3 linked regions of the Caenorhabditis elegans genome follow. The protein of the gene in region 1 interacts with the protein of each later gene in a pairwise test. Each region holds a gene or a part of one and is shown on either strand. Other genes may lie near its edges.

Region 1 (8,530 bases):
AGACTGTCAGTTTAATAGTTCTGGTTTTGATATTTCCTGTTCAACCGATTTCGTTCCGTTTAAACTGTATATTTCAATGGCATGTTGAGAATTATAAGAATTTAAGATATAAAAAGTGTTTTTAAAAAGCTACCAAAATGCTAAGAGCATATAAAATAGAGCTTCTTTTAGTCCATCTTGGTGGCAAAGCATCATCACTTATTCCAGAAATTGTTGATTTAAATTCTCGTCCTTCATGATAAGTGGATAATCTGAATGGCAAAAATCTGCAATCAGTTAAATTTAATACACTTACCCAGATAAATGCTTCAATAATTTTGGTTTATACTCTTCATATTTCTTATCATTTCCTATGAAAACCTTCACTTCATTTTCAATTTGTTTATATCTTTGCCGTATTAGATTCAACTTTGTCATTTGAATTTTTTTGTCAGCATCATATTCCTGATAGTAGAATGCATAAGCTCCAATTAAAAGATATAAAAACAAGAAAACTGCAAGACCCACATGAGGAAGTGCCATTTTTAACATCTGAAAACGACAATTTTGTACCCATTTTGCTTGTTTTCACAAAATTTGTTCAAAAATAATTTTTTACTTTGTCCAATAAAAATCAAAAAATTTTATATAAAGTTGTAACTCTCTTACCTTTTTCAATTTATTTTGCACTGGTAATTCGGTGCTCGACGAATTTTCTTCTTCAGACATTTTAGCGTATAGTATTCGGATAGAAATGTGTAAAAATGATGAAAAGCGTAGCATTCAATGAGACCCATATGGAAATTATGAAACCAGAATAATTTGGTAATTGTATTAGTTTAGAAATATTTGTTTAAGTTATTGTGTTCAATTTGTTTTGTTTAGGCAGCAACTGATTTGGATGAGAAGAGTTAAAAATAGGTTATTTAATCAATAAAAGCAATATGAAAAGTATTCCTCAGTAGGGTCTAACAATAAATACACTAATGGTCAAAATAATATAACTTATTCCAGTCTAAAAATATTCACGAATTTTCTTCTCCTAAATACTAGAAATTCTTAAATTTATCAAAAACCAGAAAAAATTGCAACATCTACAGTCAGTTTAAATTGTTTTTGAATTTTGGTATTTTGGTATTTGAGAAACGTTCAAATCAGATTTTAAAAATATTGGATAGGTATTTTCGCACTCATACATCTTTGAAATAAAACATTAAGTTTTTTCTCAATACGTTTGAAAAAAGTACAGTACTACATAGTATATGCACACATTTTCCAAATATATATTATCAACAGAAAACTATTCTCATCATTCTATTTTCCCAATATTCCCATCCACTTTGAATCACTAACAACAATCATGTGATTTCCTAAATGTTTTCCTTTTTTCAAATTGAAGAAAATCAACGCTGCGGAACACATTTTCCCGAAAAAAGCCGTCCGAGTTGTTCCCGTCCACACCTTTTTTCCCTCTCAAGAGTTATTCTTTTGTAGATTCTTTGGATCATTCACTTGATAGCCTAATAGTGGGCGTGTGTTTGTCTGTGCTCCGTTACGTGAAAAACGGAACAAATATTTTTTGAAAAAAAAACATTCGAATTTTTCCGTCGCGTCTCGAAATGCCCATTTCTCCTGCTGGTAGGTTTTTATAGACCTCTATTTGAAAATTTAGTTATGAATGTTTAAATAAGTGTCTCTAAAACTATAAAAAACCAATTTTTAGAGGAATCTTGGTAGATGCTCACTTTTCAGCTCACATTGATTAAATCCTCAAAAGTTCACATATAATCATTGAAATTGTTTTTTGAAATAATTTTTTAAAAAGTTATGTTTGACTCATTCTGTTTTGGTTACTTTGGCAACTACCTGAACACAGTCTCCTGTATCAATTGCTCTTAAACTTTTTAATCGAAATTTTCAGATTCAACAAGCATTGCTCGTCAAAAACAACGTCGCATCGAACCACTTGTAATGCTTGATTCTCGGGATTACGGTAGTTGGAGGAATGGAACAACTCCATCGCCGAGCACAAATAACAAAAGCCCTCCGGTATTTCAAAATGAGAAGAAGAGAGTTCATTGGCGGAAATAATTCTTGTTTCAATTTTTTTTTGTATTCTCTGTAAACTGTGTACATATTTTGTAAATTGGATTACTAATTTAAAAATAAATACTTGTAAAATAAAATGAAATAAATAAATAACTGTAAAAGCGTACTTCAGGTAGATCCAAAATATTTGGAGTGGATTTAATTTTTGGGTTCAGGTCAAGTCTGTGCGGCAAACGGCACAAGGTTCAAGGGACAAGCAACCGAAATCATTGATACTAACGAAAAGTTGAAATGCAGTAAGAAGATCAAGGAATTACCGGACAAAATTATTGCCAAGGAACAAAGGCATACGTCTCAGCTTCATTTGCATGATCCTGTTCAAGTATTCCGTGACATCATCAACCACCATCACGTGTGTACCTCATACCAGGGCTGTGCGGCATCCTGAATTTTCGGCGAACGTTCGCCGACACATAAATTTCTCATAATTTTTCGGCGATCGGCATTTATCGGCACTTTTCGGCATCCTTAAAAAAAAAATTTTGTGTTTTTTTTTCAATTTTCTAAATCTAAATAGTTGAATTCCAAAGTTTTATAAAGAGTGTCTGGTTTGAATTTTAAAGCATAGATCAATTTCATATTTAAACGACCAGACTGTTGGGATAGTCAAAAAAGGATCCCAGAGGCAAGAATGATTCAAAATAATTGTGTCGACTAAAAGAATATGGCTAATAATTCAAATATGTTAATTTTTGGGAAGTGTTAGAAATACAGGTGATTTGGGAGTGTTATGATACAAGAGACACAGAGATGTCTTTGGTTGTGTTTTATGACTATAATGTTTGTAGATTTATGTTTCAACGGATGAATGTGAAAAACTTGAATGTATATTCGATTAAATTTTTAAAAAATAAATTTTTCACAAATGCCGAAAAATACCGAAAAAAGTCGAACAAAAGTCGACCGTTTGCCGCACATCTCTCATACATATGAACGTCATATTTGAATATTCTCGTTTAAGCTGATGTGCACGGCATTTGGAATATTACGGGAATTGCCAAAACCATAGAAAATATTTTCCTAACAGCAATCGAAACTATTTGATTCCATAACTCCAATTCCCTTCTTTAAACTAGAAATTTATAAGCACATGCCTGTTCTAAGTATCCATCAATCAAATGCCAAGAAACCGCAAAACAAGGCGAAAATTATCAGAATTCTCAACAAGTCATCCGGGCGGCTCCCAAGAGGCAGTGCCGCGGCGGCAACACGCTCATCTTAAATGAAAACCCAAGAAAGAGACGCTATATAATGTTTTCCGAAATATCAATCATGCTTCTCCTCACACATCAGCTTCTCGTCTTCTCGTCCTACCGTAGTCGCTTATGAACCGAGCCGCCTCCCTAGAGACTATGGGATCCTCAGCGGTAAGTGATGGGCTCCGCCTTGTAAAATGCAACATTTTCCCTCATTCAATATGAGCCGGATGATTTTTCGCATATTTATCATTTTTGTTTCAAAGACTCCTACAGTACTCTTCTAATCGTAAACCTTTTCAATTGACAATAATTTCAGAATGATGTTTTCCTCAATAGATTCTCTTCTTAAAATCTCAACTTCTTCTCAAAATGAAGATCAAAAATTAGAGAGTCACCCCTCCCCTCCATCACAAATTCCAAATTATTCAACCAGCTGCTCTGAGGAATTAATGAAAATGGCGGCAAAAGCAGCCCAATTTGCTGCTCAAGCCTCGCTGGAGAACTCATTTTCCAGTTCTAGTGAGCTTGAACCTTTAAACTAGAAAAATCAATAACACATTTTTAGCTTCTCCCACATCAACTGTTACTCCACTTTCTGCATACACGTCACTGGTTCAGCCGGTCCTTCCTTTGATCTACGATCATTTAGCATTAACATGTAAGTGATGATTTTATGAAAGGGAATACTTCAGTAAATCCCCAATAAAAACCTCTAAAAGGTTACATACTAGAAATAATTTGAATTTTTCTAGATTCAGTAAATGCATGGCAAGCATGGGGAAAGATGAGAAGACCACGAACCGCATTCAGCAGTGAACAATTAGTTCAATTAGAGAAACAATTCTCAGATAATCGATATTTGAGTAGACCAAGAAGATATCAATTGGCACAACAATTATCTCTTTCAGAGACTCAGGTAATTTCAATAGATTTAATAAAACTGGTGCTTCCATAAAGGTAAATATGCCTACCCGTTTGCCTACCCGTACATAACGGTAAACAAATAGATATGCTTGCATTGAAGCCTTTGAAGCTCAAGAAACGAGAAAATATACGTCCACCAAAAATACTTATTTTACAATTTTTACTCTAATTATCTTTCAATTATTTGAACTTTATGGGGATTTAAACTTTGACGAATACTTTATAGTTCTCAAAGAGTCCACATTTATCGAACACTTTGACAAAAAATTTCGAAAAAACCTGAAAAAAAATTTAGAGTGGCCGATGGTCCGCTGTTTTAAAAAATTTTTAGAGGGTATATTTTGACGAGTTTCGCATTGGCGCTAGGGCTGTGCGGCTGATGACTCGGCTGATGGAGACAATCAAGTTTTTCAACGTGTTAGCACTGATCAATTAAAGAATATTTGTATTTGCAGTATTGGCTGAGTCATGAGCTTCTTATTCTAGAAAAAAGTTTTTTTTTAAGTGCACACACCTTGACAAAACAGTCGGCTTTTTGAATCATCCGAGTAACTCGGCTGTCGGCTGTCGGCTGATTGGAAAAACGAGTTTTTCTGGAAGGGGTGTGCACTTTTTTAAAAACTTTTTTCTAGAATTAGAAGCTCAAGACTCAGCCGATATGGCAAATACAAGTATTCCCTAATTGATCATTGCTAATACGTTGAAAAACGTTGATTTGCTCCATCAGCCGAGTCATCAGCCGCACAGCCCTAATTGGCGCCACTTCACTTTTAATCAACAGAATATTCAACAAATGTGTTCCTACGAGAATGAAAATTGTGTAAAAATTACTTAAGTAAATTTCCATTGTATAAAATCATTATTTATTTTTTTCTAATTTCTTGTTTCTAAATCATAATGATTTCAGATCAAAATCTGGTTCCAAAATCGTCGAATGAAAAACAAACGTTGCCCATCTTCAACTCCAATTCAATCAACTTCCTCTTCTTGATAATCTTTTTATATTTGATCACTTTTACTTAATAAATTCTTAATCAAAAGACAATATTCATTTCTAATTTATCTTCTTCCGCATCATTAAAACCTGTCAAATGATTACGTGATTTCGGTTCACTGATAACAAAAAATCGGATATTCTTCATCTCTCTCTCTCTCTCACCCCCAGGCTTCTTCTTCTTCTTCTGTCTTCTTTTTTATACAAAAAAAAAACACGTTACCTGACAATGCTTTAAATAGTGAAAATCTAGTGAAAACTCGCTTTTCAAGGGTATTTATGTTCGAATGAAAATGACTCCGCCCGTCCGAATACTTCCCATTATACAGTCACTTTGCTGATTGATGGGGTATCTTTTTTCGAGTTATATACGTTTTACTGCATTCACTTTTATTAGTATATTCAATTATACTATACATTCATACGTTCTTATCAAAATTACGAATTTTGTTATGATATCTAGCAGTTTTCTATTTTATTAGAAATCTTAATCTTCTCTAAAGGGAGAATCATAATACACCGTATTTCCTCTAATAGTTTTTTCATCTTATACCTTTTAATGGTTAAATCTCGGTTCAGTTTGAAGATATCAATAAATAATCAACTACAAAGAATTAGAAATAGAAATACAATTTTTTTACCGTTGACATTTTTTGTATTGGACACACGATATGTAAAATGTCAAAGTTGAACAATGAGGTGCAATAACAGGAAGTACGGTATATCAAACCATTTCGAAAAACAACATGTACCTTTAAAGCCGGATTTCACATCTTCACGAAATGATTATATTGGTATATTTTAATTTAGAAGTTTCAGTAATTATGTCAACCACAAGTACAGTACTCTTATTCATAACTTCGGTATGTGGTGTGGCTATTATTTCCAGTCTTCTTGTTGCTGGATCATTATTCTTTGAAGCTCAAGGATTTTTAGAGACTTCACTTGATGAAATTGAATCCTTCAAGGTTTCATTAAACAAAAATAAACTTGAGAACATGTTAATTTTTTAAGCACTACTCCGATGTCGCATGGAAAGATATGATATCATCTAATACATTTGACAGAAAGAAAAGAGACGACGAAGATAAGTCATGTGGCTGCCCATGTGCAAACGGTCCAAATAACTGCCCTCCGGGAGAAGCAGGACCACCGGGAGCTCCAGGAACACCAGGTAATTCTGCAAAACGTTTCGACCACGGCAGGATTCGAACCTGCAATCTTCTGCTCCGTAGGCAGACGCGTTATCCATTGCGCCACGCGGCCACATTTTCCGGGTCTGTCAATGCGCTATTACACATCGGAGTAAATCAATCTCGCTTGCAATAGTGAACCTTGACACTGCTAGAAACATTTATCCAATTGTTAGAAAACTTGTTTTAACTTTAACTTTAACTTTAAGACTTTAACAAATTGAAAAAAAAATTATAAAATATTTACATTTAAAAAAATTCTGCTTTCCAAGAAGTCTAAGATTTCTTAGTCAATTATTTTCCAAAATTTCAAAACAATTTAATTATGAAATATTTCACAGGAGCCGACGGAGAAGCTGGAAATCCAGGAAAAGATGGAGCTGCCGGATCTTCGTTGGTATTTGAAGATGAGAAGCTTCCATGCATTAAATGCCCAGCTGGTGAACCAGGACCACAAGGACCTGATGGTGCACCAGGTGCACCAGGACCAGATGGACAGCCAGGAGCTCCAGGATCCAACGGAAATCCAGGATCTGCCGGAGAACAAGGATCAGAAGGAGAACCAGGAGATGCTGGAGCAACAGGAGAAATTGGAGTTGCAGGAGCACCAGGAAAGAATGGAAACCGTGGATCTGGTGCTCCAGGAGCTCCAGGTCCAGAAGGACCAATTGGAGAACCAGGAAAAGATGGACAACAAGGACCACATGGAGATGTTGGAGGTGATGGAACTGAAGGAATTCAAGGAGCACCAGGAAAAGATGGAGAAAATGGATCTGATGGAGTTGCAGGAAGTGATGGAGCTCCAGGAGCACCAGGACCAGATGCTGCCTATTGTTCATGTCCAGCAAGAACTAAGCTTGTTTTTTCTAGTGAATCTCCATAAATTATTCAATGTTTCCAAATATTTAATTTATCAATTGTTATTGTTTGCCATCAAGTGTCATTAAAAGAGTGAATAAAATTGTCTCAAAAAAAAAAAGGTGGAGTCACTTTATATGTACCGTAATGACCGAATAGAACTATAAAAAAGAATGCAACTTTCCGAATGTTTCCAGATTTTTCAATTTTGCTACAAAAAATTCACTTATGCGGAATTCAACATTAATTCTGTCTCAATAAATTATAACTCAGCGACAATTTTTTACAACAAATTCGCGGGTCATACATAGCTCAATTCGAATTTTTTTGAGAATGGAAAACAAAGAACGCGAAACTAAAACTGTGATTCAAGGATCATGAACCCGCGTTAAAGCTGAAATTAATTTTTAAACAATTAAATATGTTTTTTTCTTTTTTTTCTTTCATTCAACATTAAAAAGTAAACGCATATTCTCTCAGGACAAAAGTCTTCAAAAATTCTGTGCCTGCTTGAAAAACACCGCAACGCGTCTTTAAATTCTACATTACTTTTAAAAAAATTAATCTACCGTTCTAACTTTAAAAAATTAATTTACCGTTCTAACTTTAAAAAATCAATCTACCGTTCTAACTTTGAAAAACATTCTATTTTTTCGTATAACAATCTATTTTTTCGTCTGCCAATCTATTTTTTCGTCTGACAATTTATTTTTAAGTGAGAACGGTAGATTAATTTTTTAAAGTTTGAAATTTCAAAGTGAATGCGCCATTCATTAGTAAACGAGCGAAAGTGGAAACATTAGTAATTGAGCCATCGTTAGGGATTGAACGTTCAAGTAAATGAGCACGCTAGTAAATGAGGGTTTGCCAATTTTATTTCATAAATAGTAAAAATTCAAAAGTAATCACATCCAATTTTCGTTTCCTTAACCAACCATTGATCCACTTCGTAAAATGCTTTCATCTTGAATTCTCGTTTCTTCCATTCTTTATCATGTACTCCATAGTTTTTCATCAAATTCACTTTGCAAATAAATGAAAAATTCTCATATGATTCCACTTTGCTCTCCAATAGTTTAGCATCATCATATTCACCAGACCATGTGGCTAGCCAATTGTCAAATTCCGAAACTAAAAAACAATCTTGGTGTTTGATGGTTTATATGAATTAATTTTTGAAAATATATTTCGAGGTTCTAATTTACTTGATTACTTGAAGGTGAAAATTGTTCTTAAGTCGAAATAAGCCAAATAAACATGAAAAATGTTATATC
Region 2 (11,832 bases), on another chromosome or scaffold:
AAGGACCTGAGAACTACGCAAATCTAGTTTCTAACTCGATTCTCATAATTTAAAAGTTGAAAATTCAAAAATCTCGCGTAGAAAAACCTATCTACCCCACCGGGGGCTCGAACCTGAGACCTATTCCCCCCAGTCAAGCTTCTTACCCACTGCGCTATGCTGTGCATTCTTTTGCGGCGAAGGGGGCACTCGTGGCGCAGAGGATAAGAGGCTTGTCTATGGAGCAAAAGGTCACGGGTTCGAGTCCCTGTTGAGGCAGATAGATTTTTTTATGCGGGAATTTCAAAATTTTAGGTTTTAAAACCTTGAAAATTTGTTGAAAGAGCATTTATAGGTGTCACAATCAATTGAGGTATGAATAAATTTTTCCAGCTACTGTTTATACCTTGGCGTACACACTATGATGATTCTCCAACGTTTACGTGCTCACATGTCCCCCCAAACCTACCAAATGCACAGAACAGCCCTCATAAGCCTGACCATGCAAATGGTGATCCCCGGAATGCTTCTAACAACCCCTTTGTACATGATTCTAGTAGTAATTATGACAAATTCATTGGCTTTTGAAGGTAATAGAAAAGGTTTTCAGAAAAAAAGTTTTTATCGAAAAAAAAATTTTCAGAGCTGGCCTCCACCTTCTCCTTCCTAATGTCCTCCCACTCAATGTGTCAGTGTTTTGTAATGGTTATGAGCAATGGGGTATACCGACGGGTACTTAAGGAGAAGGTTTTCAGATTGTTAAGGTTCTTTTTTGAGAAAAAAAATTCTCAAAAAAAAAAAAAAAATTCAGACTTCCAGTTCCAAATGAGAGTCAGGTGGGGAGCCTCGTTGAGCCAAGCATGAGAATTTCGAATAATTTTGTGGGAACTGTACTAAATGCTTGAAAAAGTAAGTTTTATTATAAGTTTTTGAATTTCCGCCAATTTTGAAAATTTTTTCCGAATGGCGCAGTTGGATTTTCGCCGACCTCTAATCACAAGGCCGGGGTTCGAGTCCGCACCGCGGCACAATTTTTTTTTCCATTTTTAAAAATTGTTTTAGAGTATTTTTGAGACGTAGAATTCAAATTTTTAAGTTTGGGAACTCAGAAAGTTTTAGAAAATGTCGAAAATTTGGTTGCAAAAATTTTCTTTTTTTAGTTTCAAAGTGGATTTTTGTAACTAAAATGTGAAAATTATGCTTTAAGCAGCTTTTCTATCACGTGCTCCGAATTTTGACCAATTTTGAAATTTTTGTCCGAATGGCGCAGTGAGATTTTCGCCGACTTTCAGTCATAAGACCGGGGTTCGAGTCCGCACCCGGGTCGGAATATTTTTATTGTGTTTCTTGGACGGTTTTGAGTAATTCTGATGTGTAGAATCTGAATTTTCAATTTTTTGCAACGCTAGATTTTCGGAAATCATCGAAAAAATCAATTTTAGCTCAAAAAAAAATTAAAAAAAAAACAGTTTCTGAGTCACGGCCCCAAACGCCCACTAAGAAATGCAAATTTCCATTTAAAATTTCCATCGTCCTCACATCAAACATTAAATCAATAAAATTCTTTGAGAACACGATTGAAATCTATAAAAGTTACCCCCAAAATATTAAGACCGACATATTTTAATATGGCGCTCGAAAATATGAAAATGTTCATTTTGGTAAGTGTTTCTAGAGTTTAAAAGTTGAATTATCATCAATTTTGAGCTTAAAACCTTAAAAAACCTAAGAAAGCTCAATTTTCAAAAATTTTGTCCGAATGGCTCAGTGCGATTTTCGGCGACTACCAATCACAAGACCGGGGTTCGAGCCCCGCTGTGGCAGATTTTTTTATTTACGTTTTCTATAGTAATTAAAGCTTGTAAAACTTGAATTTTCAATTTTTTTTTAGCATAAAAACTTATAGGAACGCCAAAAATTAATGTTTCAGATCGCTGCTCTCTTCCTATTCGGAGCCCTTTGCCAAGACAATGCCCCGGCATTTAATGCAGCTTCTCAAATCAGATTTACGTGTATTCCACAGTGTCATCCTACTCACATATGCGTCTTGGGAGTATGTATCTGAATTTTGAATAAATGTTGTTATATCAAGACCGTTTTGTTTTTACTGGAAATTGTTTTTTTTCAGACGCATAGTCGAATTGATTCAGCATTAGTTTAAAAAAAGAGTGCAACATACCCCTGAAATCACCAAAATCTAGTTTCCAACTCGATTCTCATAATTTAAAAGTGGAAAATTCAAAAATCTCGACTAGAAAAACCTATGTGCCCCATCGGGGGTTCAACCCTGGCTCCTATTTCCCCATAGTCAAGCCTCTTCCCGACTGCGCAGGTTCGGGTCCCCGTTGGGGGTATTTAGGTTTTTATAGGCGAGATTTTCGATTTTTTGGGTCTTAAAACTTGAAAGCTGAGTTGAAACCCTTTTAAATTCGCACATTTTTGAAAATTTTGTCCGGCTGGCGCAGTGGGATTTTCGCCAACTTCCAATCACGAGACCGGGGTTCGAGTCCGCACGCTGGTCGATATTTTTTTCTAGTGTTGCTTGAACGGATTTTGGGTATTTTTGATGCGTCTGAATCTGAACTTTAAAGTTTTTTTTGCATCATCTTCTTGGAAAACTTCGAAAAAATCAATTGCCAGTTCAAAAAATCAAAACCATTTGTGAGTCACTTTCCCAAACGCCCACTGAGAAATGTAAATTTTTCTTTGAAATTCCCATCGGCCTCGAATCAAACACCGAAATAATGGAAATTCCTTGAGAATACGATTAAAATCTATAAAAACTAGCAGGAAAACATTAAGAACCTCATATTTTAGTGTGGCGCTCGAAAATATGAAAATTCTCGTTTTGGTAAGTGTTTCTAGAGTTGAAAACTAAATTACTTTTGAATTAGTCTAAATTTTAAAAAAAATCGGACAATATCTTGAAATTTTAAAATTTATGCCAGAATGGCTCAGTGGGATTTTTGCTGACTACCAATCACAAGACCGGGGTTCGGGTCCCCGCTTTGGTAAAATTTTTTGTTATTATGTTTTCAGGATGTTTGAAAAGTATAAACTTCAAATTTTGAGGTTTCAGAGAAAAAACATCTGGAAAATACCAAAAATTTACTTACTCAACAAAAAATTTTCAAATTTGAAATTTTCAAATTAGAATCAAAATTAGTGTTACACTCACATTTACATATTTCCCGCAAATTTTTGAAAATTTTGTCCAAATGGCTCAGTGTGATTTTCGGCGACTGACAATCACAAGACCGGGGTTCGAGTCCCCGCTGTGGCAAAAAATTTTTTTCAAGTGTTTTCAATCATATTTAGACGGATAAAATCGAATTTTTCAGTTTAAGAATATACAAAAACTTCTAGGAATGTCAAAAATTAAGCTTTGAAATTTCAGATCGCTGTTCTCTTCCCATTCGGAGTTCTTTGTCAAGACGAAGTCCAGGGATTCGGCGTAGCCCGCAATCGTACTCGCAGATGGTGTGACCCACCGTGCAGAACTTTTCACAGATGCTACTTGGGAGTATGTCGTTATGTTCCAAACATTCCATGGTGAACAGCCTAAGCTCTGAATATTGAATAAATATTATCATACCGAAATTGTGTTGTTTCAACAAAACATCTAAACTTTAGAGAACTGTGTACATGCAATTCAAGCTTAGTTTGGTCGATTTGCTTTGAAATTCTCAAAAATTGAGAAAAGCCCCCCTAAAATCTCCAAAATCAATGTTCCAGCTTGATTTTCATAAGTTAAAAATTGAAAATTCGATTTTCTCGCATAGAAAAACCTATGTACTCTGTCGGGGGTTTTTCTATGCGAGAATTTCGATTTTTTAGGTTTCAAATCTTGAAAACTGTGTTAGAACCCGGTTTTTCGAGAAAATTTTGGTTTATTTAACTAAAAATTATATTTCCTATGACAATAATGTATGCATGTTTCCTGGTGACTAATACCTGCTGATGTTCCTACTCTGCGTCTCGTGCTTTTTTCCCTAATATTTACTTTTCCCCTGTCTCTATTTCACCTCTTATCAAATTTCTCACTTTTCATCTATGAAATATATTACGATTTTCACATTTTCCATAGATTTTTACATTAAAAATTGAGAAATTTTGAGTTTTTTTTCCTCAAAAATCGATATTTTGTCGCCAAAATTCAAATTTTCAGAATGGAATTTCCATCATCCTCGTCAGAAATGACATATTTCACTGTAAACTGTGAAATTTGTCAAAAAACCAGTCACGGTCTGCATTTTGGGCTTGAAACTTGTCGTGCGTGTGCTGCATTTTTCAGGTAAGCTCTAGCGGAATTTCGGAGCATCGTACCGGAGAATTTTTTTCCAGGCGCACCGTAGTTTTGAACCGAAAATACAAATGTATCCAGAAAACTGGAAAATGTGAAATTGGAGCCGGTGGCGAGGAGAAGCTGTGCAAATTTTGCAGATTTAAAAAATGCATCGACTTGGGTATGACTACTGAAAGTGAGGGTTTTTTTTCTCAAATTTTCGTTGAAAATGCAAACTGTGAAAGCAAAATAATTTAAAAAATTGTATTCTCCGCAAAATTTCCGAAATTTTGACCCCCATATTGACTATATTCAGGAAATTTATGTTTTCGGGCCGAAATTGGCCGATTTTAGGCCGAAATAAAATAGAGTCTACTCACAATTGCAAAATTTCATACAGTTCCTAAAATTTAGCGCCTAAATTTATAAGTTTTTTGAATTCGGGCCGTTTCAGGCCGAAATAGGCCGAATTTAGGCTTAAACTGAAAATAATACTATAAATTTCGGATTGTTCACAATTTCTAAAATTTTAAAACCCAACCACAATTTTTTAAACTATAGCTAAAAATAAGGTTGTAAAGGTTTAACTCGACAAAAATTTTTGCATTCAAAGAAAAACCTCATAACATGTCTCACACTGATCTAAGTTCGGCCTATCTCGGCTTATTTCGGCCCGAATCGACTCAGAAACTATACAACGAGTACTGGCGTCAAAACTTTGATTTATTTCAATTCTCAGAAGAGATTGCTTATTAAAGTTTGCAATGTTTTGTTTTAGGCTAAAATTTGGCCTATTTCGGCCTATTTCGGGCTAAAACTTTTTTTTTTCAGTTTTTCAATTTTTTTTTCAGATGTACGCACAGATTTCAAAGACGATTCTGAAGACACCAGTTCTCAATCCCCTCAATCCACGTCATCAATGGAAGTGACGTCATCACAGCAAATTGTCGCCAAAGTGCGGAATCGGGTGGAATATTACATAGTTAACCCGAAAACTCAAGCACCTGCAATGCTTATTGATGTCAATGCAATTATTAAAGAAAGTAGAGCAATTTTGGAGACGGTAGGTAATTTTCAAAAATTTGTTTCAAAAAAGTTTGAAAAAATTCTGAAAAAGTCAATTTTCCGGTCTAAAACTGGCTTAAAAATAATCTTGTGAAATTTAATCAATACTTATTTTTGAATTTGAAACCCATATTGCTAAATTGAATTGAAAAATTGTTTTCAGGACAGATTTCGGCCTGAAACGGCTTATTTTGGTCCGAAAAGCCGGCCCAAAACGGCCTGAAAGCACAAACTGTTAAAAACAACCGATTTGTATGTCACTTTTGTACAAAATTCACAAAATGCATTTTTTGTGTGTTAAATTTTGAAAATTCGGAGATCAAGCCTGAAATGAGGCCCAGAACGGCCCGAAAACTGAAGTTTTAGAAATATACTCAAAATGGGTTTTAAAATTTTAGAAATTGTGAACAATCCGAAATTTATAGTATTATTTTTCGAAAATTACTATTATTTTCAGTATAAGCCTAAATTCGGCCTATTTCGGCCTGAAACGGCCCGAATTCAAAAAACTCATAAATTTAGGCGGTGTTAAGTTTCCAAATTTTAAGAACTGTATGAAATTTTGCAATTGTGAGTAGACTCTATTTTATTTCGGCCTAAAATCGGCCTATTTCGGCCCGAAAACATAAATTTCCGGAATATAGTCAATATGGGGGTCAAAATTTCGGAAATTTTGCGGAGAATACAAATTTTTAAATTATTTTAAATTATTTCGAAACCCATATTGCTAAATTGTTAAAAAAATTGTTTCCAGGGCAGATTTCGGCCTGAAACGGCTTATTTTGGTCCGAAAAGCCGGCCCAAAACGGCCTGAAAGCACAAACTGTTAAAAACAACCGATTTGTATGTCACTTTTGTACAAAATTCACAAAATGCATTTTTTGTGTGTTAAATTTTGAAAATTCGGAGATCAAGCCTGAAATGAGGCCCAGAACGGCCCGAAAACTGAAGTTTTAGAAATATACTCAAAATGGGTTTTAAAATTTTAGAAATTGTGAACAATCCGAAATTTATAGTATTATTTTTCGAAAATTACTATTATTTTCAGTATAAGCCTAAATTCGGCCTATTTCGGCCTGAAACGGCCCGAATTCAAAAAACTCATAAATTTAGGCGGTGTTAAGTTTCCAAATTTTAGGAACTGTATGAAATTTTGCAATTGTGAGTAGACTCTATTTTATTTCGGCCTAAAATCGGCCTATTTCGGCCCGAAAACATAAATTTCCGGAATATAGTCAATATGGGGGTCAAAATTTCGGAAATTTTGCGGAGAATACAAATTTTTAAATTATTTTAAATTATTTCGAAACCCATATTGCTAAATTGTTAAAAAAATTGTTTCCAGGGCAGATTTCGGCCTGAAACGGCTTATTTTGGTCCGAAAAGCCGGCCCAAAACGGCCTGAAAGCACAAACTGTTAAAAACAACCGATTTGTATGTCACTTTTGTACAAAATTCACAAAATGCATTTTTTGTGTGTTAAATTTTGAAAATTCGGAGATCAAGCCTGAAATGAGGCCCAGAACGGCCCGAAAACTGAAGTTTTAGAAATATACTCAATATGGGTGTCAAAATTTTGCAATTTTCACAAAGAATTCAATTTTTTTGGTTTAGACTTCGGAAATTCTCAATCTTTACATTTTTCAGCGAATTTCAATTTTTTTTTGCAGCACTATTTTCCCGACGAAGACCTTATTGCTCATCTGAACCCCCTTCAGCGGATGTCCCACTCATTGCACAAAATCCGTGAGAAACAGTCCTGGAGCCCGGAATTTTTTGAGCACGTAAAATTTTACAAAATGTTCCAGTGGTGGGAGGTACAGATGCGGGATACTGCCACGTGGCTTATGCATTCGGACGAATTTCGGAGGCTACCGAGTCATGAGAAGGTTTTTTTCGAATTAGGCTTAGGCCTAGGCCTAGACTCAAGCTTAGGCCTAGACTCAGGCTTAGGCTTAGGCCTAGACTCGGGGTTAGGTTTAGGCTTAAAACATTTTTCTAGTTTTTTTTGGTAGTTTGTCTGAAAATTTAAAAAAAAAATTCTGAAAATTTTTTTTTTCATGAAAAGGTAGTGTTGATTAGGCTTAGGCTTAGGCTTAGGCTTGGGCTTAGATTTAAGCTTAGCCTTAAAAAAAGTCTCTCAATTTCCAGATCGCAATTTTCAAAATAGTGTGGGCGGTGTGGCGGAGATTCGAGAGGTACACAATGTCTGCTCAAATGTTCGGTCAAAAATGCTATGACGAAAAAGTAACTGAAACGGCCTGAAATAGTCTGAAAATATTAAAAATTTCTCAGATTCACGTTCACAATCACCAATTTGCCGCGAGATTTGGCAATTATCATATCGATTATTCAAACGTGTCGGATCACGGCTTTGAGCGGTTTAACAAGTGAGTTTCCGGACTTTGAAGTTAAAAATTTGAAATCTACATAAAATTCGCAAAATTGTGACCCCCATATTGACTATATTCTGAAAATTTTAGTTTTCAGGCCGAAATAGGCCCATTTTAGGCCTGGAAGCCAAAATTGATGTAAATTAAGAGATATTATGAAAATTTGACATGTATATCTACTGCTTTCCAAATATCGTCTTTCTAAGCCAAAGTAGGCCATTTTGGGCCACTTTGGGTCACTTTCAGGCTTGAAAACTGATTTTTCAGAATATAGTCAACATGGGTGCCAAATTTTTGGCATTTTTTAAAAAATAGTTGACTGTAATATTAAGTTTCCAAAAAAATGAGTTTTCAGGCCAAAATAGTCCGTTTTAAGTCAAAATCTAAGCCTGAAAAGTGATTTTTCAGAATTCAGTCAATTTAAGAGTCAAAATTTTGGAAATTTTATTGCAATGCAGATTGTAATATAAAGGTTCCAAAAAATTGACGTTTCAGGCTTTACTTTCAGGCCTGAAAACAGATTTTTCGGAATATAGTCAATATGGGTGTCAAAATTTCGGAAATTTTGTGTAGATCTCGAATTTTTACCTTGAAATCACTTAAAATGCTCTAAAAATATGCAAAACACCAATTTTGTCATACTCTTCAAAATTTTTAGTTTTCAGCTTTATTTTCAGCCCAAAAGACCCATTATTGGTGTCAAAATGCTCCAAATTTTACGTAGAATCCAAATTTCTTACTGAAAAATTCAATTTTTTCAGTGTATTCGGTGGAAAAATGATCAGATATTTTGACATAATCGTGAAGCCATACCTGGAACTTAATCTCTCTGAAACTGAAGTCACCTATATTTTATGTCAAATCGTCTGGAATTATGCAGGAAGACGGCTTCAAGGACAAACCCAAGCGGCTGGAGAACGATTTTTAGAGGAAATTTCCAATAATTTGCATAGTTACTATGAAGAAGCTGCTAGAAAAGAGGAAAATCCGAAAAACTATGCGTCAAGGCTTACGAAAATGATGCAAATTGTCAATGAAATGCTGAGTATTCAGTTGAAACGAGAAAATACTATGGATATAGCAATGTTGTTTGATATGTTTAATATTGTGTTCACTGAGCCCGAATTTTTCAGGGTTTGAGTGGAAAAATAACGAAAATAAATCGTTTGATATTTTGTGTGAAATTGTGAAGTTATTTTAGAATTTTGTAACACACATAAGTGGACTTGAAACTAAAAAATTCAAATTTGGCGTGAAATTTCCAAAATTTTGACACCCATATTGACTATGATCTGAAAATTTTAGTGTTTAAGCCAAACTGGGCCGTTTTCAGGCCAAGTTTAGGCCTGATTGTCAAACTTCTTGAAAATACCCAGTATAGGTTTAAAATTTTGAGGAGTGCTATGCACATTTCTATTTTTATGCTGATCTTCGAAAAATCCACTTTTCAGTCCGAAATGGGCCGTTGTCAGGCCAATTCTAGGCCTGATATTCACTTTTCCTGAAAATAGCCAATATATGTTTAAAATTTTGAGGAGTGCTATGCACCTTTCTATTTTTTATGCTAATCTTCCGAAAATTCACTTTTCAGTCCAAAATAGGCCGTTTTCAGGCCAATTCTAGGCCTGATTGTTACGTTTTTAGAATATAGCTAACATGGGCGTCGCATTTTGGGAAATGTTATGTACACATCTATTTTGCTACTGATGACCTAAAAATTTACTTCTGGGCCGAAACGGGCCGTTCTAGGGCAAAAACAGGCCTGAATACTAACTTTTCAGAAAGTAGCCAATATGGATCATAATTTGTTAGAATTTCTGTGTAACGTTCTAAATTCTCCACATCAGTCTGATTTTTCAGTGTATTCGGCCCGAAAACGATCCAATTCTTCGACGACAATAGTCTACCTGAACCGAAATAGGCCGTTTCAAGCCAAATTCTAGGCCCGAAATCAATATTTTCACAACGTTGTGTCAAATTGGTAACTTTCTTCCGGACTTCCGAAAAAGGTAACTTTCAGGCCGAAATAGGCCGCTTCCAGGCCAATTCTAGGCCTGAAAGTAATTTTTCAGAATGTAGTCAATATGGGTGTCGTATTTTGGAAATTTAATTTCAATGTTGACTGTAATTTTAAGTTTCCGAAAAATTGACTTTTCAAGCTGAAGTAAGCCGTTTTAGGCCAATACTAGGCCTGAAAATCAATTTTCCAGAAAATAGTCTATGAAAGTTTGTGAGTTTTTTTTTGAAATATTTTTCCGGAACATTTTCTGAATTTCTGCAATTTTCTGAAATTTTCAAAAAAAAATTCCGAATCTCTGAAATTTATATGAAATTTTTCTTAAAATTTGTGAATTTTCTTCAAAGTTTTTGAAAGTTTTTCCAGGTTTTCAGAGCTGAAACTTGCTAGAAATGTCTGAAAATTTCTGGAATTTTCCTGAAATTTTTTGTAAATGCTGTTTCCATTAGAAATTAAAGATTTCATTGCTTTTTTACTATAAAATTCCCCTCAAACCCTGAAAAACTCGGGCTCGGTAAACGAAATATTGAACATATCAAACAAAAGCGCCAAGTCCATGTCAGTTTCCTGTTTCAGCTGCATTTTCAACATTTCATTGACAATTTGCATCATTTTCGTAAGCCTTGACGCATAGTTTTTCGGATTTTCCTCTTTTCTAGCAGCTTCTTCATAGTAACTATGCAAATTATTGGAAATTTCCTCTAAAAATCGTTCTCCAGCCGCTTGGGTTTGTCCTTGAAGCCGTCTTCCTGCATAATTCCAGACGATTTGACATAAAATATAGGTGACTTCAGTTTCAGAGAGATTAAGTTCCAGGTATGGCTTCACGATTATGTCAAAATATCTGATCATTTTTCCACCGAATACACTGAAAAAATTGAATTTTTCAGTAAGAAATTTGGATTCTACGTAAAATTTGGAGCATTTTGACACCAATAATGGGTCTTTTGGGCTGAAAATAAAGCTGAAAACTAAAAATTTTGAAGAGTATGACAAAATTGGTGTTTTGCATATTTTTAGAGCATTTTGAGTGATTTCAAGGTAAAAATTCGAGATCTACACAAAATTTCCGAAATTTTGACACCCATATTGACTATATTCCGAAAAATCTGTTTTCAGGCCTGAAAGTGGCCTAAAGCCATAATTCCAGACGATTTGACATAAAATATAGGTGACTTCAGTTTCAGAGAGATTAAGTTCCAGGTATGGCTTCACGATTATGTCAAAGTATCGGATCATTTTTCCACCGAATACACTGAAAATGTTGAATTTGTAGTAGGAAATATGGATTCTAAGTAAAATTTGGAAGCTTTTGATACCCATTTTGGTTTTTTTAGGCCGAAAATGGAGAAAAAGACTAAAAAAATTTAGGTGGGGATTTACTATTAGGCTCTATTACTATTACTATTTTGCCGTACTTTTGAATCTTTGAAAAAAAAACAGCTTTTGTTTAAATTTTGAAATTTTTTAAAATAACCTTCCGTACAAGATAGCATAAAAATAGTCAATATGGGTGTCAAAATTTTGGAAATTTCATGGCAAATTCAATATTCTTAGTATCAGGGCTTACTTCTCAAAAGTGTGCGGACCCTGGCTCCATACATGTGAATAATCAACGCAATAGCTCCCAAATCTTGCTGCAAACTTATGGGAATGCAGAAGAATCTGGAATAAATTTTTTTAGAATTTTGATTTAGGTAAGACTCCTGCCTACTTTTTCATCATAACATTTTTGTCCGAAAACTTCAGCAGACATTGTGTACCTCTCGAATCTCCGCCAAACTGCCCACACTATTTTGAAAATTGCAAGCTGGAAATTGAGTAACTTTTTTAAGGCTAAGCCTAAATCTAAGCCCAAGCCTAAGCCTAATCAACACTACCTTTTCATGAATTGGGAGCCCTCTAAACTCCCGGCAGTTCATAAGCCACGTGGCCGTGTCTTCCAGCTGCTCAGCCCACCATTGGAACTTTCTGCCAAACTTGATAGTGGTAAAAAATTCTGGGGACCCTGACTGTTTCGATCGGATTTTGTGAAGGGACTCTACCATCATTTGGAGTGGATTTAAATCTGGAGCCACGTAGAAATTGTGGTT
Region 3 (12,385 bases), on another chromosome or scaffold:
GATTCCATTCTGGATTGTTCTCCGGTTGCAGTAGAGCACTTCGTTTCATTGTTCGGTCAGATGGGTATCCTGCAATTGGAAATTTAGATAATTTTTTCAGACATAATGAATAAAAAAATAAGCTTTGAAATTGTTTTTCGGAAATTTCCAAAAAAAAAAAAAATTTTTTGAATTTTTTTTTTGAAATTTCTTTTTTGAAATTTTTTTTGAATTTTTTTGGGGTAAAAACTACTTCCGTAATAAGCTTTTTAAATTTTCACTAAATTTTTTCAAAATTTTTAGATAATTTCAGGCTTTCAGGGACTGTAATTATTTTAAATTATTTTTTCTGACATAATTCTTGTTTTCAGACAAAAAAAATAATCTAAAAACATGTTTTTCAGTTAATAAATTATTAAAAAGTAAAAAGGAAACTGACTTAAAAATTTTTAAAAAATTTTGAATTAACAATATTGAAAACTTAAAAATTCGATTTTTTCCTAAAATCTCACATATTAAAACTACCATAATCCGGCCAATTTCGTGTTGAGACCCATGAGAATAAAATTTTCAAATTCAGCATGAAAAGGGCTTTCGAATAAGTATAATCATGACTAAGTTAAAAATTTTGGAAAATTCTGCAATTTTGGGTCTCACCACGAAAATGTCCAAAAACTACCGTCACTTTATTTTTTCAGGAATTTTTCCAAATTTTAACATCAACGTATTACAGACTTTCTAAAAATGTACATATTTGACTAAATTTCCAGAAATTTCTGAAAAATGGGTAACGCCGCGAAATATTCCCTGCGAGACCCAAAAACTGGAAAAAACTAAAATCTGAAATCCAGTCATGATTATACTTATTTGAAAGCCCATGACTTGCTAAATTTGAAAAATTTAGTTTTATGGGTCTCAAAACGAAAGCTGCTAGGTAACGGTAGTTTTGAAAATTTAATTTTTGAAAAAAAAATTTGATTTTTCAAACTGTCGTATTTTTGTACTTTCAATATTAAAAAAAAATGTTTTTTTGAAATCTGGAACTGAAATATTTCTATTTTTGTATTTTTTTTTAATTTTTACCACATTTTCTATAAATTTTCATAAATCTGAACATATATTTTAAAAATTTGTCAAAATTTTCAAAACTTTTTTTTTTTAATTTTTTCTGAAAAATTAATACTTAAGGTTATTTTGCATTTAAACGAGGTATATACACTAAAATGAAGCAATAACAAAATTTTTTTTAGTTTTTAAAAAAAAATTTCAAAAAAAAATAAAAAAATTTGTCCAGCCCAAAAAAAATTTTGCCTCAAAATTTTCAAACTCTTGTAATTTTTTTCAAAATCAACATTTCCCGCCAATTTTTGACTTAAATTGAAGCCAATTTTCCGCTCTTCAACATACCTGAATAATAGTTACCGGCTGCTGAGGTGAACTGCAAGACGGCGAGCAAAACCGCGAGAAGTGTGACTACTTGCACTCTCATTTTACCTGAAAATTTGCAATTTTTCAGATTTTTACAAAAAAAAAGGTTTCCGACGGGGTTAAAAGTCTCGAAAAAAAAAATTTATTCTCCTTAAAATCCTGTTAGTATTTATTAAAAAATTTGGAGCATTTTTTGGCGAAAATTCCAAAAATTTTGATAAAGACTAACGGGAGATGGGAATTTTTTGGAAATTTTTTCGGTAAAATTTTTTGACAAATAATTTTTAAAATCTTTCAAAAACAGTGAGTCTAATAAAATATGAAATATGATTTAAGCTCCGCCCACAACAGCCTCGGAGCTCCGCCCCCTTTTCAGATGACACAGAGTGGCCAATCGGGGTTTTATTAATTAGTGAATTCAAAAAAATATTAAAAATGTATATATTCCGGATAAAAAAAGGAATTTTAAAGGAAAAAGTGTAAGAAAAATTTTTCAAAAAAAATTTTTTTTTTTTGAAAAATATATTCAAAAAAAAAATTTTTTTTTCATTTTTTTTCCAAAACAGTGTGTAGATGTAAATACGGTTTTATAGTATTTTTTATGAGAAATTCAGTTCATTTTGAGTTTCACAAGTATCTCATTTCCCAACAAAGCGATTTGAAGTTGGTGGCCTAGAAAACCAAACGTTAGGCCATAAATTGGTAAATTGGCCGGGAATCTAGACAATTCAAAAAAAAAAAACAAAATAGATTTTTCACGTCTATATATGCCGAAAAAATTTCAAAATTTTTTTTTTTATTTCGAAAAAAAAAATTTTTTTTGAAATTTTTCCAGAAGTTTTTTTTTTAATTTTTAAATTTGTAAAACAGTGAAATATAAGGGTGTATGCTTTAAAATTTTTTTCTAAAAAAAGAAAATCTAAAAAAAGAATTAGATTTGCCACTTCTAATATAAATGCAAAAAATGAAAACAAATTTCAAAAAAAAAAATGTTTATGGAATTTTTTTTTTCAAATTTTTTCCTGCTCCAAATCTCAACCCCACCCTTTTTTACAGTAATCCTAGTATAATAATACACCTAATTAAAAACCGGAAAAGGCGCAATGAAAAGAATTCGTAATAAAACGGAAATTTCAAATTTTCGAGCAAAATCTTTTTATTTATATATATATATAAATTTTCAAGTGGGTGTGTGAGTGTGAGCTGGATAATTAGATGACGTATCCTTCAAAAATTTCGGAATTTAAAATCTGTGCTTTAAGCCTTCTTCCGTGCTCCCCCAACCAACGAGTGATCCAATTATTTCTGCCAATTTGCATGAAAACGGCGCGGCAAGAGAAATCTGAAAAACAAAACCGGTTTTTTAGTGGAGTAATGCACATTTTAAGGGGTTCTGCTCACATTTCAAAAAAGGAAATGTCGCCTGAATTAAGTAGAAACCTAAAAAAAAATCCGAGTTTTTCGGATGAAAATTCCAAATTTGAAAATTTCCAAACTGAAACTTACTTTTATAACTTGAAAATTGATTTAAAATATTGTTCAAACAAAATAAAAACTATCGGCCTGAGCGGGGGTTTGAACCCGCGACCGTTTTTTATAATTTGTCCCTCTTCCCACCTGAGCCAAAAACACCCCAAATTTGAAATTTTGAAAATCATGGCTAAGCTCTAAATTTACACTTTCTAGGCTCAAAATTACACGAGAAATCCAAAAATTAATGTCATTTTGCTCTAGGACAACGTTGAGCCAAGTTATGGGCTTAAGAAGCTCCGATCGCCCGAAAAGCCTGAAAAATCTAAAATTTTCAAATTATCCAATATTGGTGTCATCTATATAGCAAATTTTGTGCTGAACACGATAAAACATGTATTTTCTGGATGACTTTTCTAGTTTTTAAGATATTCCAGAAAAACTGGAGAGATTTCAAAATTTTTCAGAATTTTCTCATTCTCTCCGATTTTCATATAATTTTTTCGGGGTTTCTTGTTTCCACTACATTATAGTCAAGTACTAACCTCTAGACACACCTGTAATCTCCAAATGTTTTACCCTTTCTATCTCTAACCACTCTCTGAAAAATGTGCACTCTCTCGCCGTCTCATGTTTGCTATCGGTCTTTGGCGTAAGAATAAGGAGAATTTATTGCGAAATATTGATTTTTTTAGAAACACCTTTATTGTTATTTTTCATTATTTATTGGCAACAATTTCTACTTGAAAAACTGAAAATTTTTGGAAATTTGAAATTTTTTAGCGATTTTTCCACCTATTTCGGGGAATATCTCAAAAACTAGAAGAGATATCAAAAAGTTGTCAACTGAAAAGTTGTTCAGCATAAAATTTGCTATTTATTTGACACCCATATTGAGTATTTTGAAAATTTCAGATTTTTCAGGCTTTTCGGGCCCTCGGAGCTCCATAAGCCCATAATGTGGCTCAATGTAGTCCTAGAGCAAAGTAACGTAAATTTTTAGATTTTCCGTGTAATTTTAAGGCTAGAAAGGGTAAATTTCGAGCTTAGCCACTATTTTTAATATTTCAGAGAGGGGGAATTTATGGCTCAGATGGGTAGAGGGACAGTTGGGCGAAGTAGGGTAAAAGCAGGTCAGGGGTTCGAGTTCCGGTGCCTGCTAAATTTTTTTTCATTGCAATTTAAACATGTTGAGATCAATTTAAACCTCTGAGTTCACAAAATTTCAAAGAATTCCCGAAAACCTAGGAAAACCTTTTATCGATTTTTCCACCTATTTCGGGGAATATCTCAAAAACTAGAAGAGATATCAAAAAGTTGTCAACTGAAAAGTTGTTCAGCATAAAATTAGCATGTTATTTGACATCAGATTTTTCAGGTTTTTGGGCCCTCGGAGCTCCTTAAGCCCATAACTTGGCTCAAAGTGGTCCTAGAGCAAAATAACTTAAATTTTTGGATTTCCCGTGTAATTTTAAGCCTAGGAAGTGTAATTTCAGAGCTTAGCCATAATTTTCAAAATTTTAAATTTGGGGTATTTGTGGCTCAGGTGGGTAGAGGGTTGGCTGTGTGCGGCTTTGAAAAAGTAGGTCAGGGGTTCGAGCCCCGTTGCCTGCTAAAATTTTTTTAATGATTTTTTTGATTGGTGTGTATGACTATGAGCTTGAAAATTGAAAGAAATCTCAAGAAAATAAAAAAAAACAATTTCAAAAACTTCAAAAAATAATTTTTTTTTTATTTATGGATTTTTCTTAAACTCTTTTTTATACACTTTTTACTAGCTGACTTAACAAATTCCTTCCAATTTTCCCTGAATTCCATGCAAAACCCATATTTTCAGACAAATGATCACCCCATTCTCTTCTTCTCCATCTTCATCCACTTCTGACTCCCAGACACCTGAAATTACGGCAATCGGCTTTAAAAAATGTGCAGTTTGTGGTTTAGATGCCAAGGGAAAGCATTTTGGAGCATTTAGTTGCAGAGCTTGTGCCGCTTTTTTTCGGTGAGTTTTTTTTTCGACAGTTTTTTAGAATTTTCTCAAAAACTTTTAGATTTTAGTGGAAAATAATACTTCCATCGTGTTCAGCACAAAATTTACCACTTATTTGACACCCATATTGAGTATTTCCAAAAAAATGAAATTTGAGCACCTCAAGGCTCCGGGAGCCCATAACTCGGCTCAAAGTGCCGGGAGAGCGATAAAGTTTAAATTTTTGAATTTTGCTTAAAATTTTACCTCTAGAAACTTGCAATCAAAACCTCTAACTTGCTTATTTGAGATTTTCGGCTTATTCCGGCCTAAAAAGGGCCTATTTCGGCCTAAAAACCTATGTTTCTAGAACTCAGCCAGTAAAAGACTCACAACTCTAAAAAATCTTGAGAAACTTTAAATTTGTGACTGAAAGCCTAAGAATTTTTAATTTTTCGATATAAACCGGGCCTGAAAAAGCCTAAATTGGCCTATTCTGGCCTAAAACTCAAAACTTTCAGAACCTAGTCAATATGGGTGTCAAAATTTTGGAAATTTCATGGAGAATCCGAATTTCCTACTAAAAAGTGTCCCCGAATGTCCCATGTCCCGACAACGGGACAAATTTTGAAATTCCCGAAAACACTTTTTTTAAATTAAAATTTTTTGAAGGTTTTCCTTTTTTTTTGTTTCTTCTATACATATTAGGTGTTCTGAAAAACTGAAAAATTATTCACAAAAAAAATTTTTAATCCTAAAAATTTCAGCCGAGCCTCCACCCAGTCTGCCTCCATCGGGCCGTGCAAAAAATCCCGGACCTGTAACTTATTCAACGGAAATGGATGGTTTCAGTGCAAGAAATGCCGTCTGGAACGGTGCTATAAAGTCGGAATGACCATGAAAAGTAATTCGGGGGGAAATTTGAAATTTTCGGAAAAAATTTTTTTTTTAAAGATTTTTCGAAAAAATTTTTTTTTTCAGATTTCCAATTCCAACGGGACCATATTCGATCTAAAATTGAAATTATAAATAATAAATTGCCTGAGGTAAATTTTCAGCCAAATTTCACCCAAACCCAAATCTTTTCCCATTCAGAGCATCGAAAAACTAGTGGGCCGCCCGTTTTTTGTGGTTCACTGTAAGCCGACACTAATTGAAATTCACACTCAGCAAAATTTAATCGATTGCCATGATTTTGTGGAAAAGGGCCGAAGGATACTGTTTGAGGTAAGCTTAGCTATCGATTTTTAGGCATAAAAATTGAATTTTGAAAATTTGTCCCGCCACTTGTCGGGACATGGGACACTCGGGGACACTTTTAAGTATGAAATTCGAATTCTCCATGAAATTTCCAAAGTTTTGGAACCCATATTGACTAGGTTCTGAAAAACTCGGTTTTTGGGCCGAAATAGGCCTTTTTCAGGCCGAATATTGAAAATCCGCAGAATTTCAGTCACAAATTTAATTTTCTGTAGAACTTCTGAAAAATTAAAATTTATAGTTTTGATCCTGAAAAATGAGATTTTTAGGCTGAAATAGGCCGTTTCAGGCCGATCTAAGCCGAAAATCTCAATTTCTGCTGCTTTTTTCACCAACCATTCTTCGCAAAAATCTAGTTTATTCGACACCTCTATCAAGCAAGACTAGGACATTTTGATTTTCAGGCAATTAGGCCGATTCAGGCCGAAATTTGAGTTTCCAGGAGATCTGAGACAATTTTGAACCTAGAATTAGAATTCTACTTGAAATTTCCAAAATTTTAAAACCCATATCGGCTAGGTTCTGAAGTTTTGGATTTTTAGGCCGAAAAAGGAGATTTTAGGCTAGATTTGGGCCCATTTAAGGCGTCAAACGTTTCAGAAACTAGTCGATATGGGTTTCAAAATTTCGCAAATTTCACGTAGAATCCGAATATCGCAGTCAAATTTCATTTCCAGGGCTCTCCAACCCCGTGGGGTTCTGATTCCTTGCAAAAGCTGGCTCGCGGAGTTCGGAAGTTGGCTGGAAACTACAGTAATCCCAAAGTTAAGGTGATCGAGAGCTACGGGATGGCCGAGACGTTTGCATTCTGGGAAAATGATTTTCTGCGGGCCGCCACGTGGTTTTCGTATTTCGACGATTTCCAGCGAATGTCTAATGATGTTCAGGTGTTTTTTTTTGTAGTTTGTAGTTTAGTTCAGCTACCACAACCTATTCAGATATACTCGAAATGGCCCGAATTCGAAGAAAAAAAACTTTTCAGCTAAAAACTCAAATTTCGGCAATTTTTCAGTGTTATAGCGGCCAAAAATTAGATTATATTCAATTTTCACCCATTAAAGGTGGGGTACCGAAATTTGAGACTTTACTTTTTTAGACCTAAAATGGCCCAAAACTACCGAATTTCGTAATGAGACGAAAATTTTTCAAAAAAAAGTTATGGCTGCTCAAAGTTTTCGGAAAAAAACGGCCTATTTTTAGCCGTTGTTTCCAAAACTTTGAGCAGCCATAACTTTTTTGTTGAAAAATTTTCAGAACGTCTCATTACGAAATTTGGTAGTTTTGGGCCATTTTGTGTCTAAAAACGCAAAGTCTCAAATTTCGGTACCCCCACCTTTAATGTATATTTTAATCATTTTTCACGCGTTTTAGCTTAATCTACTGAAAAACGCGTAATAAACCATTAAAATATACATTAATGGGTGAAAATTGAATAAAAACTACTACTTGGCAGCTGGCTGTAACACTGAAAAATTGCACTGCAACTTTTTCCTCTCGAGGGACGAGGAAAAGTGGTTTCTAGGCCATGGCCGAGGGGCCGACAAGTTTCAGCGGCCATTTATCTTGCTTTGTTTTCCGCCTGTTTTCTTTCGTTTTTCATCGATTTTTTCATTTTTTCTTAATAAAACTGATAAATAAATATTTTTTGCAGATGCTAAAACAATTTCCAAGTAAAAAAATTATGTATTCAGTCGGCAAGCAGCGATGAAAGTGGGCATTGTAATATGATGGATTACGGGAATAAAAAACCCAAACTTTTTCTGAAACATGATACATGTGATGCTTAGATGCTGAAATTACCTGATTTTCATAACGAGACCGCTGAAAAAGTTTTGAGGTTTCCAAAATTCAACTTTTTTGGTGAAAAAGTCGAGATTTTCGCACAAAAAGTAGAATTTTGGAAACCTCAAAACTTTTTCAGCGGTCTCGTTATGAAAATCAGATAATTTCAGCATCTAAGCATCATATGTATCATGTTTCAGAAAAAGTTTAGGTTTTGTATTCCCGTAATCCATCATATTGCATTGACCACTTTCACCGCTGCTTGCCCACTGAATACATAATTTTTTTACTTGGAAATTGTTTTAGCATCTGCAAAAAATATTTATTTATCAGTTTTATTAAGAAAAAACGAAAAAAATCGATGAAAAACGAAAGAAAACAGGCGGAAAACAAAGCAAGATAAATGGCCGCTGAAACTTGTCGGCCCCTCGGCCATGGCCTAGAAACCACTTTTCCTCGTCCCTCGTGAGGAAAAAGTTGCAGTGAATTGGCGAAATTTTCGAGATTTTAGCTCTTAAAACATGTTCTATTTCTATTAGAATTTCCACCACTTTTTATAGTTTTAACCACCTGAAATCCCGAAAATTTCCAGCTAAAAATCCTTGCCGCCACGTGGCATGTATGGTCTCGTCTGGATAAGTTGGCAATTACAGCGATGGGGCGACGGATGAAGATGTGCTGCGGTGATTGTGTAATGTTTTCGCATAAAAATGAGTATTCAATGATGGATATGAAGAATATGGAGTTGGATTTGACGTGGTGCTCACGATTAACCAATCAGCAAATGCAATTGTAAGTACTTAGGGTTGATCAACAAAAAATGCGGGAAAAATTTTCACTCCCAGAAAAATATGACGTCAGCAAACTCTATCTCTAAACACCCCGCAATTCTCGTAGATCAAACCAAATAGTAGTTTTTGTAGCGGAAAATTTCGGAAATACGCTTAAAACCCCCTCAGAATCACCCGAAAACTCGAAATTTTTGTGACAAAATCCTGCGAAAGTGTGCATTTTAGGCTTAAACAGCGCCAAAATGCTGTAGTTTGTAGTCAAAACCATCTCCAATTCGATTTTCTTTTCCGCGAAAATTTCCGCGAAAATTATTAATTTTCTCAGTTTTCTGGCATTTTTTCCATTAAAAACTCTATTGGAATTGCTTCAAAATTCCAAAAATTTGTAGTTTGTAGTCTAAGCAGCGCCCAAAATTGAATTAGCAGCGCCCAAAACTTGTAGTTTGTAGTCTAAGCAGCGCCCAAAATTGAATTAGCAACGCCCAAAAATTTGTAGTTTGTAGTCTAAGCAGCGCCCAAAATTGAATTAGCAGCGCCCAAAACTTGTAGTTTGTAGTCTAAGCAGCGCCCAAAATTGAATTAGCAACGCCCAAAAACTTGTAGTTTGTAGTCTAAGCAGCGCCCAAAATTGAATTAGCAGCGCCCAAAACTTGTAGTTTGTAGTCTAAGCAGCGCCCAAAATTGAATTAGCAGCGCCCAAAATTTGTAGTTTGTAGTCTAAGCAGCGCCCAAAATTGAATTAGCAGCGCCCAAAACTTGTAGTTTGTAGTCTTAGCAGCGCCCAGCGCATTTTCAGCAGAATTTCACCAATTTTCAGCTTCTACGACACGTCAGAAAACCACATAACCTACAAATTTGCCCAAGAAATGATGAATTTGAACCCAGATGACGTGGAGCTGTCCTATATGCTGGCTCATTTGGTGCTCGGACACGCGGGACGCCGATTTCGAGGCGAAATTCAAGAAAATTGCGAGAAAATTATGGAAAAATTGGCGAATAATCTGCATGATTACTATGTTAATGTGAAGGAAACGCCGAGATATTCAGTTCGCCTGGCGCAGATTTTGAGAATTATCCGGAAAATTAAGGTTTTCTTAGCTTTTTCACTCTAAATATTGATAAATTAATAAAATTTAACACATTTTTGCAGGAAGAAGTGCTCCAAATCCGCTCAAAACTCCAATTGGCCAAGGTTTTCGACGTTCACACGATGCGATTTTCTCATTATGAGTATTTTGAGGATTTATAATTGATTTTTATTGAATAAATTAACTTTAAATCGTGATTTTTTGAGGTTTTTGCAGGTTTTTCGATGAAAAATGACAAAAAATAAATTAAAAAAATCGAGAAATGCGCCAAGCACGCAAAGTGCGCCAGCAAAAGTCCAAGGCGCGCTTCCGGATTTTTCGAAATTTATTTTTATTTTCAGTTATTTTTTCTGATTTTCCGTTGTTTTTCAATGAATTTTCGAGGTTTTTTAGTGAATTTTGCATTAAAAAACTCGAAAATTTAATATTTCTTGATATTTTCTCCCAAATTCACCAGTTTCATCGCTAAAATCTTGCGATTTTCGGCAAAAACTGTTTTTCAGGTGTAAATGGTGACTAAACGTCATCAAGAAGCCGTGGTGACTCGGGGAGCCATCGAAAATGACACAATTTCAGCGGTGGGTGCAAAAAAACCTTAGAAAACTTACAAAAATCAAATTTCCTCCTAAAATTTCCCAATTTTTCAGGTCGCCGCCAAGTTCTGGGCTCCATTCACAGCAGAAACTCACGAAAATTTCGACGCAAAGCTCATCGACACAATTTACGACAATGAAATGCTGAAAACCTCGTTTAATTCGCGAAAAATCATGATGCTCGAGTTTTCGCAGTACTTGGAGGCCTATTTATGGCCGAATTACGTTCCAGAAAAAGCCTCAAAGGCCTGGAATATGTCGATTGTTGTGATGATTAATGAGAAATTTCGAGAACGAAATTTGGATTCGTGGAACTGTTTCACGAAGAAATCCGAGCACTTTCCGCACTTTTTTAAGAGCATTTTGCAGCTTTCGTTGCAGGAAGAAGGGTGATTATTCGAGATTTTAGCGGAAAAATGGCGAAAAAGCTCAGAAAACTCGAAATTAGCTCGAAAATTGAATTAGCAGCGCCCAAATCTTGTAGTTTGTAGTCTAAGCGGCGCCCAAAATTGAATTAGCAGCGCCCAAAACTTGTAGTTTGTAGTCTTAGCAGCGCCCAAAACTTGTAGTTTGTAGTCTAAGCAGCGCCCAAAATTGAATTAGCAGGGCCCAAAACTTGTAGTTTGTAGTCTAGCAGCGCCCAAAACTTGTAGTTTGTAGTCTAAGCAGCGCCCGAAACTTGTAGTTTGTAGTCTTAGCAGCGCCCAAAACTTGTAGTTTGTAGTCTAGCAGCGCCCAAAATGTCGTTAGCAGCGCCCAAAACTTGTAGTTTGTAGTCTAGCAGCGCCCAAAATTGAATTAGCAGCGCCCAAAATCTTGTAGTTTGTAGTCTAAGCAGCGCCCAAAATTGAATTAGCAGCGCCCAAAACTTGTAGTTTGTAGTCTTAGCAGCGCCCAAAAAACCAATTTCATCGCTTTTTGCTCATTTTTAGCTGCATTTTGCGAATTTCATAGCAATTTTTCGGCATTTTCGCTCATTTTGCACCTAATTTCGAGCAATTTTCTTGTTTTTTTTCGCGAAAAAAGCAAAAAACCACTGAAAATCACCACTATTTAAACGCGAAAAATGCGATTTTCCACTAAATTTCTCCCCAATTTTCACCAAAAAATCCTTCGAAATTTTGCAGACTCGCCTCCTCAGAACACTGTGCTCTTCTGACATTCCTTGTCAACGCATTTGGCTCCGTTGAGACACCAATTGTGCACAAAGAGACACGAAAACTCGTCTCAATTGAGATTTGGGCCGGTCTTTTGGACTCACAACGCGAAGATTTGTTCAAAAAACAGAAGAAATTGAAGAAAATTTGGGAAAATGTGCGGCAGAAAATGACGGCGGCGGCGGCGGACAACAACGAGTTCGAACGGACTTATTTGTGGAATTTAATCGAGAAATTTAAACGAGTTTTGAACAGTTTGGAGCCAAATGAGGCTCAGGGTACGTGGAAAATGCTAAATTTTCCGGAAAAAACGGAGAAAATCGGTGAAAAACGCCGGAAATTCCGTTTTTTTGAAGAGAAATGCGAAAAATTAAAGAAAATATTAGTTTTTTATCCGAAAACCGTAATTTTTTTTCGATTTTTCAATGAAAACCTCATTAAAATCTCTTGAAAATGACGAAAAAACGTGAAAAATTCACAGCAGCGCCCAAAATATTGTAGTTTGTAGTCTAAGCAGCGCCCAAAATTAAATTAGCAGCGCCCAAAACTTGTAGTTTGTAGTCTAAGCAGCGCCCAAAATTGAATTAGCAGCGCCCAAAACTTGTAGTTTGTAGTCTAAGCAGCGCCCAAAATTTGTAGTTTGTAGTCTAAGCAGCGCCCAAAACCAAATTTCATCGTAATTTACACATTTTCAGCGGATTTTCACTGATTTTTCCGATGTTTTTAGCTTTTAGCATCTAATTTTGAGTAATTTCTCAAATTTTTACATTTTTTATGGTATTTTCAGCATTTTTAGCCCATTTTTCGGGCAAATTTCGAGTAATTTTCAGAAATTTTGCAATAAAAATTCTATTTTTTCGAGAAATCA

What was found.
Region 2: the proteins of ceh-12 (region 1) and nhr-170 interact in a two-hybrid assay, tested with the Caenorhabditis elegans proteins (one large-scale study listed by BioGRID).
Region 3: the proteins of ceh-12 (region 1) and nhr-243 interact in a two-hybrid assay, tested with the Caenorhabditis elegans proteins (one large-scale study listed by BioGRID).

The regions. Positions count from the first base shown.
Region 1 is NC_003279.8:5,836,685-5,845,214, forward strand, and holds ceh-12 (Homeobox protein ceh-12), read left to right. Parts: upstream 1-3,597; 5' UTR 3,598-3,604; coding exon 3,605-3,806; intron 3,807-3,852; coding exon 3,853-3,945; intron 3,946-4,039; coding exon 4,040-4,203; intron 4,204-5,118; coding exon 5,119-5,202; 3' UTR 5,203-5,256; downstream 5,257-8,530. Other genes in the region: twk-47 (Potassium channel domain-containing protein), read right to left, coding at 134-251, 296-531, 649-708; F33D11.16 (uncharacterized protein), read left to right, coding at 1,599-1,617, 1,901-2,070; col-54 (Nematode cuticle collagen N-terminal domain-containing protein), read left to right, coding at 6,030-6,173, 6,220-6,379, 6,740-7,281; F33D11.6 (DUF4263 domain-containing protein), read right to left, coding at 8,152-8,387. UniProt on the Caenorhabditis elegans protein: Transcription factor. Plays a role, downstream from homeobox protein unc-4 and Wnt signaling, in specifying synaptic inputs to A-class motor neurons. Involved in patterning of the synaptic outputs of the postmitotic DA class cholinergic motor neurons.
Region 2 is NC_003283.11:18,793,136-18,804,967, reverse strand, and holds nhr-170 (Nuclear Hormone Receptor family), read left to right. Parts: upstream 1-4,141; 5' UTR 4,142-4,148; coding exon 4,149-4,273; intron 4,274-4,323; coding exon 4,324-4,460; intron 4,461-5,115; coding exon 5,116-5,327; intron 5,328-6,999; coding exon 7,000-7,218; intron 7,219-7,480; coding exon 7,481-7,576; intron 7,577-7,624; coding exon 7,625-7,719; intron 7,720-8,483; coding exon 8,484-8,862; 3' UTR 8,863-8,907; downstream 8,908-11,832. Other genes in the region: sri-10 (G protein-coupled receptor), read left to right, coding at 373-569, 623-743, 791-884; C54E10.10 (Late nodulin), read left to right, coding at 1,608-1,640, 1,910-2,044; C54E10.11 (FIP (Fungus-Induced Protein) Related), read left to right, coding at 2,813-2,830, 3,377-3,535; nhr-231 (Nuclear receptor domain-containing protein), read right to left, coding at 10,229-10,607, 11,310-11,404, 11,454-11,549, 11,620-11,832.
Region 3 is NC_003283.11:18,892,860-18,905,244, reverse strand, and holds nhr-243 (Nuclear Hormone Receptor family), read left to right. Parts: upstream 1-4,707; 5' UTR 4,708-4,718; coding exon 4,719-4,879; intron 4,880-5,613; coding exon 5,614-5,750; intron 5,751-5,827; coding exon 5,828-5,892; intron 5,893-5,941; coding exon 5,942-6,073; intron 6,074-6,783; coding exon 6,784-6,993; intron 6,994-8,480; coding exon 8,481-8,680; intron 8,681-9,496; coding exon 9,497-9,767; intron 9,768-9,829; coding exon 9,830-9,928; 3' UTR 9,929-9,964; downstream 9,965-12,385. Other genes in the region: mihp-2 (Neuropeptide CCHamide-1), read right to left, coding at 1-69, 1,387-1,468; emb-4 (Intron-binding protein aquarius), read left to right, coding at 10,277-10,345, 10,415-10,749, 11,488-11,795.